3 linked regions of the Mytilus edulis genome follow. The protein of the gene in region 3 purifies or fractionates together with the protein of the main gene of each other region. This does not show direct contact. Links are inferred from orthologs where the notes say so. Each region holds a gene or a part of one and is shown on either strand. Other genes may lie near its edges.

What was found.
Region 1: the proteins of UBX domain-containing protein 7-like (region 3) and kelch domain-containing protein 3-like purify together in Homo sapiens (affinity purification with mass spectrometry; 3 studies listed by BioGRID and IntAct, with this or other methods). This does not show direct contact. The link is inferred for Mytilus edulis from reciprocal best matches to the Homo sapiens genes UBXN7 and KLHDC3.
Region 2: the proteins of UBX domain-containing protein 7-like (region 3) and nuclear protein localization protein 4 homolog purify together in Homo sapiens (affinity purification with mass spectrometry; 3 studies listed by BioGRID and IntAct, with this or other methods). This does not show direct contact. The link is inferred for Mytilus edulis from reciprocal best matches to the Homo sapiens genes UBXN7 and NPLOC4.

The regions. Positions count from the first base shown.
Region 1 is NC_092346.1:24,036,702-24,040,464, reverse strand, and holds the start of kelch domain-containing protein 3-like, read left to right. Parts: upstream 1-1,371; 5' UTR 1,372-1,414; exon of another isoform or gene 1,415-1,424; intron 1,425-3,763. UniProt on the Homo sapiens protein: Substrate-recognition component of a Cul2-RING (CRL2) E3 ubiquitin-protein ligase complex of the DesCEND (destruction via C-end degrons) pathway, which recognizes a C-degron located at the extreme C terminus of target proteins, leading to their ubiquitination and degradation.
Region 2 is NC_092352.1:9,707,128-9,710,890, forward strand, and holds the start of nuclear protein localization protein 4 homolog, read left to right. Parts: upstream 1-1,153; 5' UTR 1,154-1,275; coding exon 1,276-1,302; intron 1,303-3,625; coding exon 3,626-3,709; intron 3,710-3,763. Other genes in the region: uncharacterized protein, read right to left, coding at 887-920. UniProt on the Homo sapiens protein: The ternary complex containing UFD1, VCP and NPLOC4 binds ubiquitinated proteins and is necessary for the export of misfolded proteins from the ER to the cytoplasm, where they are degraded by the proteasome.
Region 3 is NC_092344.1:63,283,913-63,287,675, reverse strand, and holds the start of UBX domain-containing protein 7-like, read left to right. Parts: upstream 1-1,426; 5' UTR 1,427-1,513; coding exon 1,514-1,565; intron 1,566-2,715; coding exon 2,716-2,860; intron 2,861-3,609; coding exon 3,610-3,674; intron 3,675-3,763. UniProt on the Homo sapiens protein: Ubiquitin-binding adapter that links a subset of NEDD8-associated cullin ring ligases (CRLs) to the segregase VCP/p97, to regulate turnover of their ubiquitination substrates.

The sequences.
Region 1 (3,763 bases), on a different chromosome or scaffold from region 3:
CACATCAAAATCCATATATAAGGGCTACTTTGCCCGCGGGAGTTGAATCCTAAGTTTCTTTGTGATTTGTATCTAAACAACCCATTTTAAATTATCGGTTTTTGGTTGCCAGTGACAAATATTTCATGAATGTTCAGGAACAAATTAGCAATAAATACAATAAATACAACAGAGAAGGATTGTGCTTGCTATTCATATGATGAATCTTTCAATTAGTTTAATTGAGGTCTGGAGCTGGTATATGCCAGTAACTGCTAGCTTTATATAAAGCTATCCTTTGTTAATTTATTATCATTGTCATTGTGATTAGTTTCTTCTGTTTCCTATTCTGACATAGGACTTCGATTTTTTTTAAAGTGCGTATTGCTGAGCCTGTGTGTTTGTTTATTCTGCATTGAATAGAGGAAGAGGGGTAGGGTTGTGATATCAACAAACATGTTTAACCCGACGCATTTGTACGCCTGTCCCAATTTAGGAGCCTCTGGCCTTTTCTTGTATGATTTTAATTTTAGTTCATTGTTATATTTCGGAGTTTAGTAAGATGTCTATTATCACTGAACCAACACTGAACCAGTACACTTATTTGTCTAGAGACCGCAGCTGAAGCACGCCTAGCACAATGTTCATTGCGGCACCATACATTTAGTATTCCTCCGTATCATTGCTTGGAACTGAATTCAATCATATAAGACAATGCAATTAATAAAAAAAAAAAAAAAAAATATATAATACTATAAATGTTTGGCACTGGGGACACCAAATAGCTCTGAATTATTTATCCCAAACTCTAACCTTATATTAGAGATTTAAATCAACTTTTTTTTATACCGGTTTAAATATTTTTAATAGATGCACAACCTTAAAATTTCTGGACACTGTTATCCCATGTGATGTCTAATATGTAAATACAAAAAAAAAACGACTTCTTCTTTTAATTATTTATTTTGTAATTAAAAAATGATTTCGTGCTATTTATTCCTAACTAAGATTGATTATAATCAGAACCGTGTTTACATGTACTTTCGCCCCTTTTCTATTTAAAAAATCAAACTTTCAAAAAGCGAAATAATCAAAATTGCACGTTAAGTTCAAGAATGTTTAAAGTTTGATCAAACTTCTAAACAATCAAATTCAAAAACGATATTTAGAATTTTAATATTTTAATTATTTGGTTAAAATTTCAAAATTTCAAAACTTTTACACAATTTGGAATTTTTATATTTTAAAACTTTGATCAAATTTCCAAAAATCTAAAATTTATATATAACAATAAGATTGTTATCTGCTTTTTTAAATAACATGAATAAAGACGCACTGTGACAGGACTTCGAAAGACAATCTTGATTCGGAAAAATTTCCATGTTTGAATCCGTCATTGATTCTAAAACTACTGTAAAAACTTGACTTCCTTTTTGTAAGTCGAAGTATTTTTTTCCTCACAAAAACATTGCAAAAAAAAAATCCAGAAAGAACCACTATATGAATCAGAAATATTATATTCTAATTAACATATGAAGTTCTACTCACAAATAATCAGCTCTGTCCATACCAAAATTATATTTTGTCTGACATGTCTAAGATTGATTATAATCAGAACCGTGTTTACATGTACTTTCGCCCCTTTTCTATTTAAAAAATCAAACTTTCAAAAAGCGAAATAATCAAAATTGCACGTTAAGTTCAAAGCAGGATATTCATATAAGACAAGACATGGCAGGGGCAAGAGCTAGAGGTTGATAAATAAAAATCAAAATTGAATAATACTTCCAGCAGACCGCATGATTACAAAAATGTAAATGAACTAAATAATGAATAGCTTTCTCTTGACCATGGTCCAAAAAATGATGAAGCAGTACTACGTCTGTATCTCAATGTAATGGGTATTATAATGTAAATAATTGTACAGTTTTATCTGTACTACAATAGCTCAAGTAAATTTCAAGAGAATACAGTATCTGTATTTTACACTCCTACCTAGGAGACTACTCCCGTATTCGAAAGAAGAAGAAGGAAGTATCACCTAGACGTGTGTCCTGCTATTACTTTTATTATGTCATCATCAAGGTTACAAAGAATACATATTCTGCTCCTGTTCGGTGTCCAATAATGTTTAATTGTATATAAGTATTATTCAATTAAAAAAATCCTGTAAACAAGTAAGATGAATTGTTGGTGTATTATTAATCTTTCTATGAATAAGTTTTTTTTGCTAAAAAACCCTTTTGGGAGCATATGATGACTGTCGTGGTACACAAGCTTATGTAAATGGCAATATTTTTGCATTTTCAAGGGATGTGGTCTATTACCCTTTCATAAACCAGTATGTGTTATTTAATATAATATTGTAACCAACCTAGGGTTACTATAAAACTGTTTAACTCATCATTCAGGAGGAGTGGAATAAATGGCAGTGTGGAGAAACACATTTGTAATAAACATAACAATATTTATTTTAGTAGTATTTTGACTTCTTCTTTCAATATAATAAACATCAAATACACATTCATCATTCAACAGATAAAGCAATAAATCGGGTGGTCAATATAAAAGGTAGTTGACGGTTCAAGAGATTGATTCAGAATGACATGTTTGTCTACAGGCTCCTATTTATGTCTTTTGGCACTTACTATGACGTTAGAGTAAACATCTAATCGTCCAATCAAAAGCAACGTTTCTTGCGTCTTTTGGCTTGAAACGTTCAAGAAGACAATCAGATTTCGTTATTATTAAATAAAGACTCGTTATTGAGTTGTCCGTATTTTGTCCTTCTTGTCCGAATTATATTTAAAAGCAAATAAAACTAAAAGGACATTTCTACATAATGCTATTTTTAAACGGACAGTAAATTCCTTTATCGATACGGCGTATGAACTTGGGTGTAATTTACATAACCTTACGCATTAGATATAATGCTTAAATGAGATCAATGAAAACCCTGTTCTATCATAAATAAAGACAATGTTAATGAAAAGGGAGGCACAAACATAATAAATACACAATTTATCTGCATTGATAAAGTGTTAACTTAAACAAATAATAATATGAGATCGCAAAGTGAAAGTACAGAACGGTGTCATGGCAGATGTAAACAAGTTGAATCTCACGACGATATTTGTCAAAATAAACCACTATATGACGGGAAAATCAAAGTATTACATACATGACATAGGTAAACATTACCAAGATATACATATAAAACTGGCCCTTATCACTTGCAAAGTACAAATAGTTTAAATCATGAGTATGAAAGTCAATGCATTTATCAGTGTTTGTGCACACCCGAGAAGTTGACCACCCGGCAATATTCAAATAGATATATGTAATATACAATAAATAATAGGTTAAATAATAACAATTATCAGTCCAGATTTGTCACAATATGCTCAATGTTTTTTCATCACTGTGTATTATTTTAAATTTTAAATTTAAAGTTATGTACTATGAGGTCTTGTACATCATGTACATTGCAATTATCTGTATTTAATAAAGCGAACAATTGATCAAACACTTCTATGACAGATATATATTATATATATATATACAACTTGTCTAAACATCAACCCAACAATGTTAGATCTGTAAATTTGCTTTTGCAAATTTTTGGTTCTTCCCTCGCCGGGATTCGAACCCATGCTACTGTGATATTGTGACACCAAATCGTGTGCACTGCAGCTGTCCTGCTAGACCACACAACCACCTGGGCTCTCAAAAAAAGAGCTTTCGCTGGCCGTGTGTTACCTTCCCTCGTCAGTTTTAATCTAGC
Region 2 (3,763 bases), on a different chromosome or scaffold from region 3:
TTCCCATGTGATCAAAATGTAGGCATCATCACTTCAAACACATACATGTACATAATGTATTGGGATACTAATAGGTAAATAATTTGATGCTGTACTGCCCAAAATATTCAGGAAATCAAAATCTAATTAGTTAGTCACCCTCTCTGCAGTTGTATAGAAATTTAGATTATGTACTTACAGAACATGAATAATTTCTAGACTACCCTACAGAATGACAATCCTGAAGATGCTTGAAACTTTAATAGTGCAGGGAGACAGTCACACCTTCTATTTGATAAATAATGTCATAATGCGAGTGCGTAATTGATGATCTTTTCCAGTGAAAGACACAAGTAAAAAAAATAACCTATTCCGATACGGCACTTCCATTAAAGGGTTTTCAGTTGTATCTGTCATGTGACTTCCATCACCACGTGACTAAAATGTAGGCATCGTCACTTCCAACGCATATTGAGAAAATGGGTGAAAAGGTTCGATTAAATTTTTTTGGATCTTAGCCTACTTCTTCCATAATGACTTAGAAAAATAATTCACTTTTAAGAAACTAAAAGGTGGAGTGAACATGACTGAACACAAATCAAAATCCGTTAACGGAGAATATCTAACAATTGGCAAAAGCGGAGTAACTAGAACAGATTTGAAATTGTTGATCTTTTCAGGTAAGACATGATTCCAGATATAACGGATTGGAAAATAAAGTAGGAATATATCAAAATTAAATCAAATATGATATATGAAGTCAATGAAAGAGAAAACAATAACACTCAATTGACAACCTTATTGGTTTAACTAGGTAAAACATGAATCTTCTGAAGATTATCATCAGACAGTTTAATTCTGCTGAAACTTAACAAAGCAAATGATATTAAGTTAAAAATATACACACCTGCAGTGACATCAAATGTCTTTACAGTAGCCATGTTGTTTACATATTTTCCATGGTTCCGGAAGTCGTTTTTATGAAATTGTCTAAAATAAGATATATCATATACAAATTTCCTTGATTATGTAACAATAAAAGTTATGTGTTTAACTTCATATTTTGATACCGAAAACTAACTTGTTCCTGCAAGTGCGACAGTTTCGAACAAAATATGACTTCTAAATCATAACTGTGTTTAGCATTCACTGGTTTATGAATTATACTATAAAGCGTTTTGTTGACGCAGGTGAACAAATTCAGCTTTTGCAAGTCAGCTGTCTGCTAATAGTTATTTGTAGAAAATTACTAATATTTTCATTTTCAAAACTATTCCTCTGAAATACACAACAAAAATGGCTAGTTCCAAGCATAAGCCAATTGTAAGTTAAGCACGATGTTATAAAAACAATAGAGACAAAATTTATAGGGCTCTAAATACCAATCAGATATTCATATATTTTATGATTAAATCCGTTTATAAATGCTCTTTTTTAAATCCAGAAAAAAATATTTCATCGGTATGTTATCACATCACAATGGAATATATCATATGTTATGTTTGTGAAACAAATGTGATAGGTGGCGGTCGTGTTGTAGGTTTTTTCCTAAAATATGATTCCCAGAAACTGAAACTGAACAATTCTGTATACAAGATATTTTATGGTGCCAATCACAGCACCTATTACTAAGCAGAATATCATTGTAATTACTAAACAAAGTACAATACAATATATATATGATATTTTGAACTAAATAGAATAACAAAATAACTGGATATTTAGGAGATAACTGTATGGTATTTTAAGCTCCGATGGCATCAATTGGGGATTTGATGGTCGCAAATTAAGTTTACTGGCCATGCGTTAGCGGAGACAGTAAACTGGTATTTGCGACCATCAAATCCCCAATTGATGCTGTTGGAGCCTAAAATACAATATTGTTATCTCCATTCTAATGAAACTGACAGAAAACAACGTTTAAACATGTATTTAAAATCTGTCATATGCTGTCTGCACTTGCGCATACATCCCATAGCATCAATTGTCAATTGATGCCATGTAAATAAGTGATGCTATCCATAATCCAATCAAAATGAACGTTACAAACGTTGTTGCACTAGAATAATGATTAGATATTGGAAGATGTGGTGTGAGTGTCAATGAGACAACTCTCCATCCAAATGACAATTTATAAAAGTAAACCATTATAGGTCAATGTACAGCCTTTAACACAGAGCCTTGGCTCACATGAAACAATTAGCTATAAAGGGCCCAAAAATTACTACTGTAAAACCATTCAAATGGGAAAACCAACGGTCTAATCAGTAATCCATATAAAAAACGAGAAACAGGTATGAATTACATAAAACAAACGACAACTACTGTACATCAGATTCCTGATAGTATGATGGCTATAGAATAAGGTTTAATTAATTTATACATTTAGAATTATGACTGGGAAAATACTTACATTACCCTTACATACATGTATATGAAAAAAGTAAGATCACAAAAATACTGAACTTAGCTAGAGGAAAATCAATTCTGAAAGTCCATAATCACATGGCAAAATCAAATAACAAAACGCATAAAAAACGAATGGACAAGAACTGTCATATTTCTGACTTGGTACAGGCATTTTCAAATGTAGAAAATGGTGGATTAAACCTGGTTTTATAGGGCTAACCCTCTCACTTTGATGACAGTCTTGTCAAATTCCGTTATATTTACATTGATGTGTAAACTAAACAGACACAATAAATAAAATAGTCAAAATATGGGTACATCAGTCATCATCGTATAGCAATTTTAAAAGGGACAATTTAACAGAACTCTAAAACATCTATCTACAAACACATTCATTGATTTGTGTGTCTGATGTCAGAAATTTTTTTTATACGTCACATAAATTTGTCGTTCATTGTGCATGCAAACAATTTTAAAATTTACATAGGCAATGTTAGCATATAGGGTTAAAAAATCAAAAGTATGTAAGAATAAATATCAGAAATAGACCGAGATTGAATATAGTCCAAAAGTTATATATATACAGAATTTATAAGAATCCACACATTCCACTACGCGATTGAATGATTTTGACGTTTATGGTTCAACGTAGTTTGTAATTCATAATAGAAATATATCATAATGACATAAACTAGAACAATATCATACTGATGATGTACTTCTCAAGACACAATTTGATTATGGCGTTATAAAAGCGTTGTCCATAGGCAGATATTTCAAGTCCTTTTACAACAAAATACAAACTATGCAAATGTCATGCACATTTTGACTTCATTTCAGAACATTTACATGACATAACGCCCAATTTGCCACGTAAATTTTTTTTCAGCTTATAGATGAACACAAAACACTCCTTTTGTAAATAATTTTAGTGTAAAGGTTATGATTTATATTTTGTTGACATGTATGAGTCCGTTAATATTAATGCAATTTTATTACTTTATTGAATTTATTAGTATTGCTTCCTACATGTACATGTTTATAAACCATGTATTGAAACTAAAAACTTAAATTTCATTTTGCTTTTATGATCAGTTTAATCTTTTCTTTTTGTATTAGTTTGTATTAGGTTGAATTACTACATGTACTCTAACGTTATTAATGAACAGTCACATGATCTTTAATTTCTGTGCAATTATAACAAACTATGATAAATAAGTTCTACTTTTTGTGGTAGGTTGTTCGTATTCAGTCTCCTGAGCATGGTACTAAGAGAGTAGAAGCTAAATCCTCAGAGTCTGTTGCAGACTTCCTAAACAAGGTGAGTATATATGCTCTTTTGTTTCAATGTTGGAAAGTTCCTGGCGGAAAGAAC
Region 3 (3,763 bases):
AAAGTCAAAACTGTCAACAGAATCAAAAGGACCACCAAAAGCACGTTATTCATCTTAAACATCAAAAGATTTTTTACACTCCAAAAATAGTTAATTCCACTTTCTTCACTATTTTTGTCTAGTGCACAAAAGTAATTTTCATTTTGTTTTATCACTTCAATGCAAAAGTTGCTTAAGGATCGATCATTATACTAAAAGGTTTACAAATCTCTTTGTCTTAATATAATGATTTACTTTAGATATTTAATTATATATATTTAAGGTGGGCGTGGTCTTTTCATATTAAGTAAGTAAGTAAAACTTTATTTTGATTCGTCATATTGACAAAGATACAGTAGCACTTAAAATTTATTGTGGTCTTAAAATATACTCATTATGTTTCAATGATATTTAGTTGATAATTAATTTCGAGAGATAAATAGCCTCCGGGTGCGGGAATTTCTCTCTACATTGAAGACCTGTTGGTGACCTTCTGCTGTTGTTTTTTTCTATGGTCGGGTTGTTGTCTCTTTGGCACATTCCCCATTTCCATTCTCAATTCAATTTTATCGTGTACTTCAGAAACAAGGTTAAAGGAGGACCACGCCCCCATAGTGGAGACATACAAAATAAAGATGACCGTTCTCCATTTCTACTCGATAGAAGTGCCTAATTTTTTTATAACATCTGCATTATGTACCAAAGATTAGAAAATGAAAGTATAAAAAAATCCGATAGTTGAATGAATTTTTACTTTAAACACAGATACTTTTCCAATTTCTAATTCTACCGACCTTGCAAGGAAAAACCTATAAAATATTGAGACCCCTACTTTAAAATGGGTAAAATTTTTTGCCCTACTTTGGACACCCCTTTTCTTTACGAATATCGATGTGAAAACCTAGCGAGATTACGATGTAAAAAGTTTAGGAAAAAATAAGGAAATGTACCCCCTTTTACAGTGCAGAAAATCGAAATCCGAAATTCTATGTTCAGATGTGAAAAAATAAGATTTCCTAAAAAAAATTTCAAACATGAAAATAATAAGTAAACTCATATATTTTTCTCTTATAAATGGGCTTACAATCAACAGCATTTAATTAGTAATAAAACAGCGCCACATTTAACTCTAGCTTATACATGTATCGTGTGAATACCAAGACATAAACATATTGCATATTGAGTGTTCAGTGTTCGGACAAAGCCGTATTAATTGAACGGAACGGATATGATCTCTGCGCCTGAGATTGATTGACAACTATAAACAAGATAAATGGATTTAAACATGAGCAAACATTTTAAGTATACAAACAAATCAAGCAAGCCAAACAAACAAATTCTAACCTTACTCTACAAACATTGGGAAATTACGGCTCTAAGGCGTAGATTTGCTTCCTATTCTTTTTTAGGATTTTAAATGGTTATTAGTTAAACTTTTTTTACTGGTTTCCAGTTATAGACTAAGACGCCTTTCCCGAAGAAGAGTAAGATGGTTACCAGAAAGAGAGAGGTTCCGAAGTTAGCGGCTTGAAGAATGGCAACAAATGTTGATAATGCTATTTTAGAACAGTTCTGTGCAATTACAGGTTATTTCGATGTCCATTTTTTAGATTTAGTCGTTAGGTTATTTATTCTCTTGAATATAATCACACAAGAAAAGCTTACAACGAAGTATGACTGTCATTAAGCCCCTGACATTTGGCACTTGCACTCCAATCATTTTGCTTTTTTGGGCTTTATTTTTTTTATGACACGAATCTAACGCCAGATAAGAGTAAATACTCAGCAAACAGTAAAGTAAGATTTAGTCATTGGACAGGTGTTACATGATGAGTAGCTGTGGAACTGTAGCTCAAAAGATTATCCTTTGGTCATGATATTTTTTTGTTTATTTGAGGACTTAAAAGAGTAAGAGCTACAGTTCCGCAACTATCCGATGAACTTGAGTTTTTTTTAAAGGTTCACCAATACACTTCAACAAAAATGGCTATGTTTGCACCATGCAATTTTCCCTGAATGCAGACAAAACTAATTTTAAAAGGTTTATATCCTGGCAGCACCTAGATTTATGCAACATGTGCAAGTTGTATTCATTTTGTGTTTTAAAAAGAAGAAAAAAAAGAAAGACAAGAATACAAAAAATGAACCATAGCAAAATTACACAATGACAGGATTTACAAAGCCACATCAAATTGATTTCACAAAAAGATAATAAATGTCACTCAGTACAAATGTACCTATAGACATGATAGATAGCTAGAATCTATACTTTTTGTTTTATTTTTTTCATCACTGTAATCAATAAAATCAATGTTAACCATGCATATATCATAATTTGTATTAATTATTCTGCTCTTCATGGGTGACTTGATTGACAAATAAAACTATTCATATTCATGATATTCTTATTCTTATTCTATACTTCAACATGTTCAAGATCTGACATTGTGTATCATTTGTAAAGTTAATCATGTTCATGATGATAGAGGGATGTTGTTATCCGAAAAAAATATCTGCATTAAAAGATAAAAAAACCCTGAGATTTTACTTATGAATTATCTAGTCTACATGTACAATGTTGCTGAATGTCCATTGTTAAAGATGCACATAGATTTAGGTGAGAGGCACAGGCTCTTTAGAGCTTCTAGTTTTATTATGATGATTAATTTAATTATTTTAATAGATATTAGTAATTACATGATATATGTATTTACATTTTCTTCTTTCAATATTTAGGTGCTACAAATGAAGTTGGTGTTCGTTTGTTGGAAGCATGCAACTGTAACCTTGACATGGCCATAGGAATGCACATGGACAGTAATACAGATGGTGTTGTAACAGAGAATGATCAGCCGTCAACATCAGATTATGGGAATGATGGGTAATTTATCATTAATATAATTGATTAAATTCTATGAGGATTTATTTTCTACTATTTTGATATGACGTGTACGAAAAAAATCAAGTAATTGAAACAACAATGAACATTGTGAAGCATAAGGTATGCCTATAAACCCTAATTATTTTTCATGATGACAATAATTTTGAAGGAAATTTCTATGTAGATTTCAAACATATTTTCAAAAATTAATGAATCCTGCTTGGAACACCACTCTTCTGATTCTCCAACATGTCCAACTTTCCCTGAAATTAAATTTTTTTTTTTCATTTACATGATTTGACCTTATACTAAATGTGCTATTTACTAAAAGGGAAGAAAATGATACTAACATGACATTCAAACTAACAAGTTGAAAAGTACATGTAGTTGATTGTCTTTTTTTTTTTAAATTGACAAATTATGCAAATGCAGTTTATACATCATCTTTTCTACACATTACATACTTGGAAGTGTCATGAGCGTCAAAGAAACATAGGTAATTAAAATAAAATAAAGAACTGAAGAAGGCCAATGGCCGAAACGTCTTGAAAAATTCGTTTATTTATACAATTATATATACATTTGTAGTATGTTCCCTATTGGAATTTTGAAAACAAATATAATTTTTCCTAAATGATCACCTCCAGTCTTTTTTTTGTGATACATGTATATATATTACTCATGCTTTATTTTTTCTGTGTACATATAGTGTTAGTCAGATAACTTTTCATGATCTTATTTATTTTTAGAGATGATGTTAGAGCTCCAATACCACAGCGAAGTGAAACATTGGTAGAAGAAATGCCAATTTATGGTAAAACTCAAATATTACCCTCTACTACTCAATACTCATACTGTTGGCACATGTATAATCAAAGATGTGTATCGTGAAAAAATATTCTT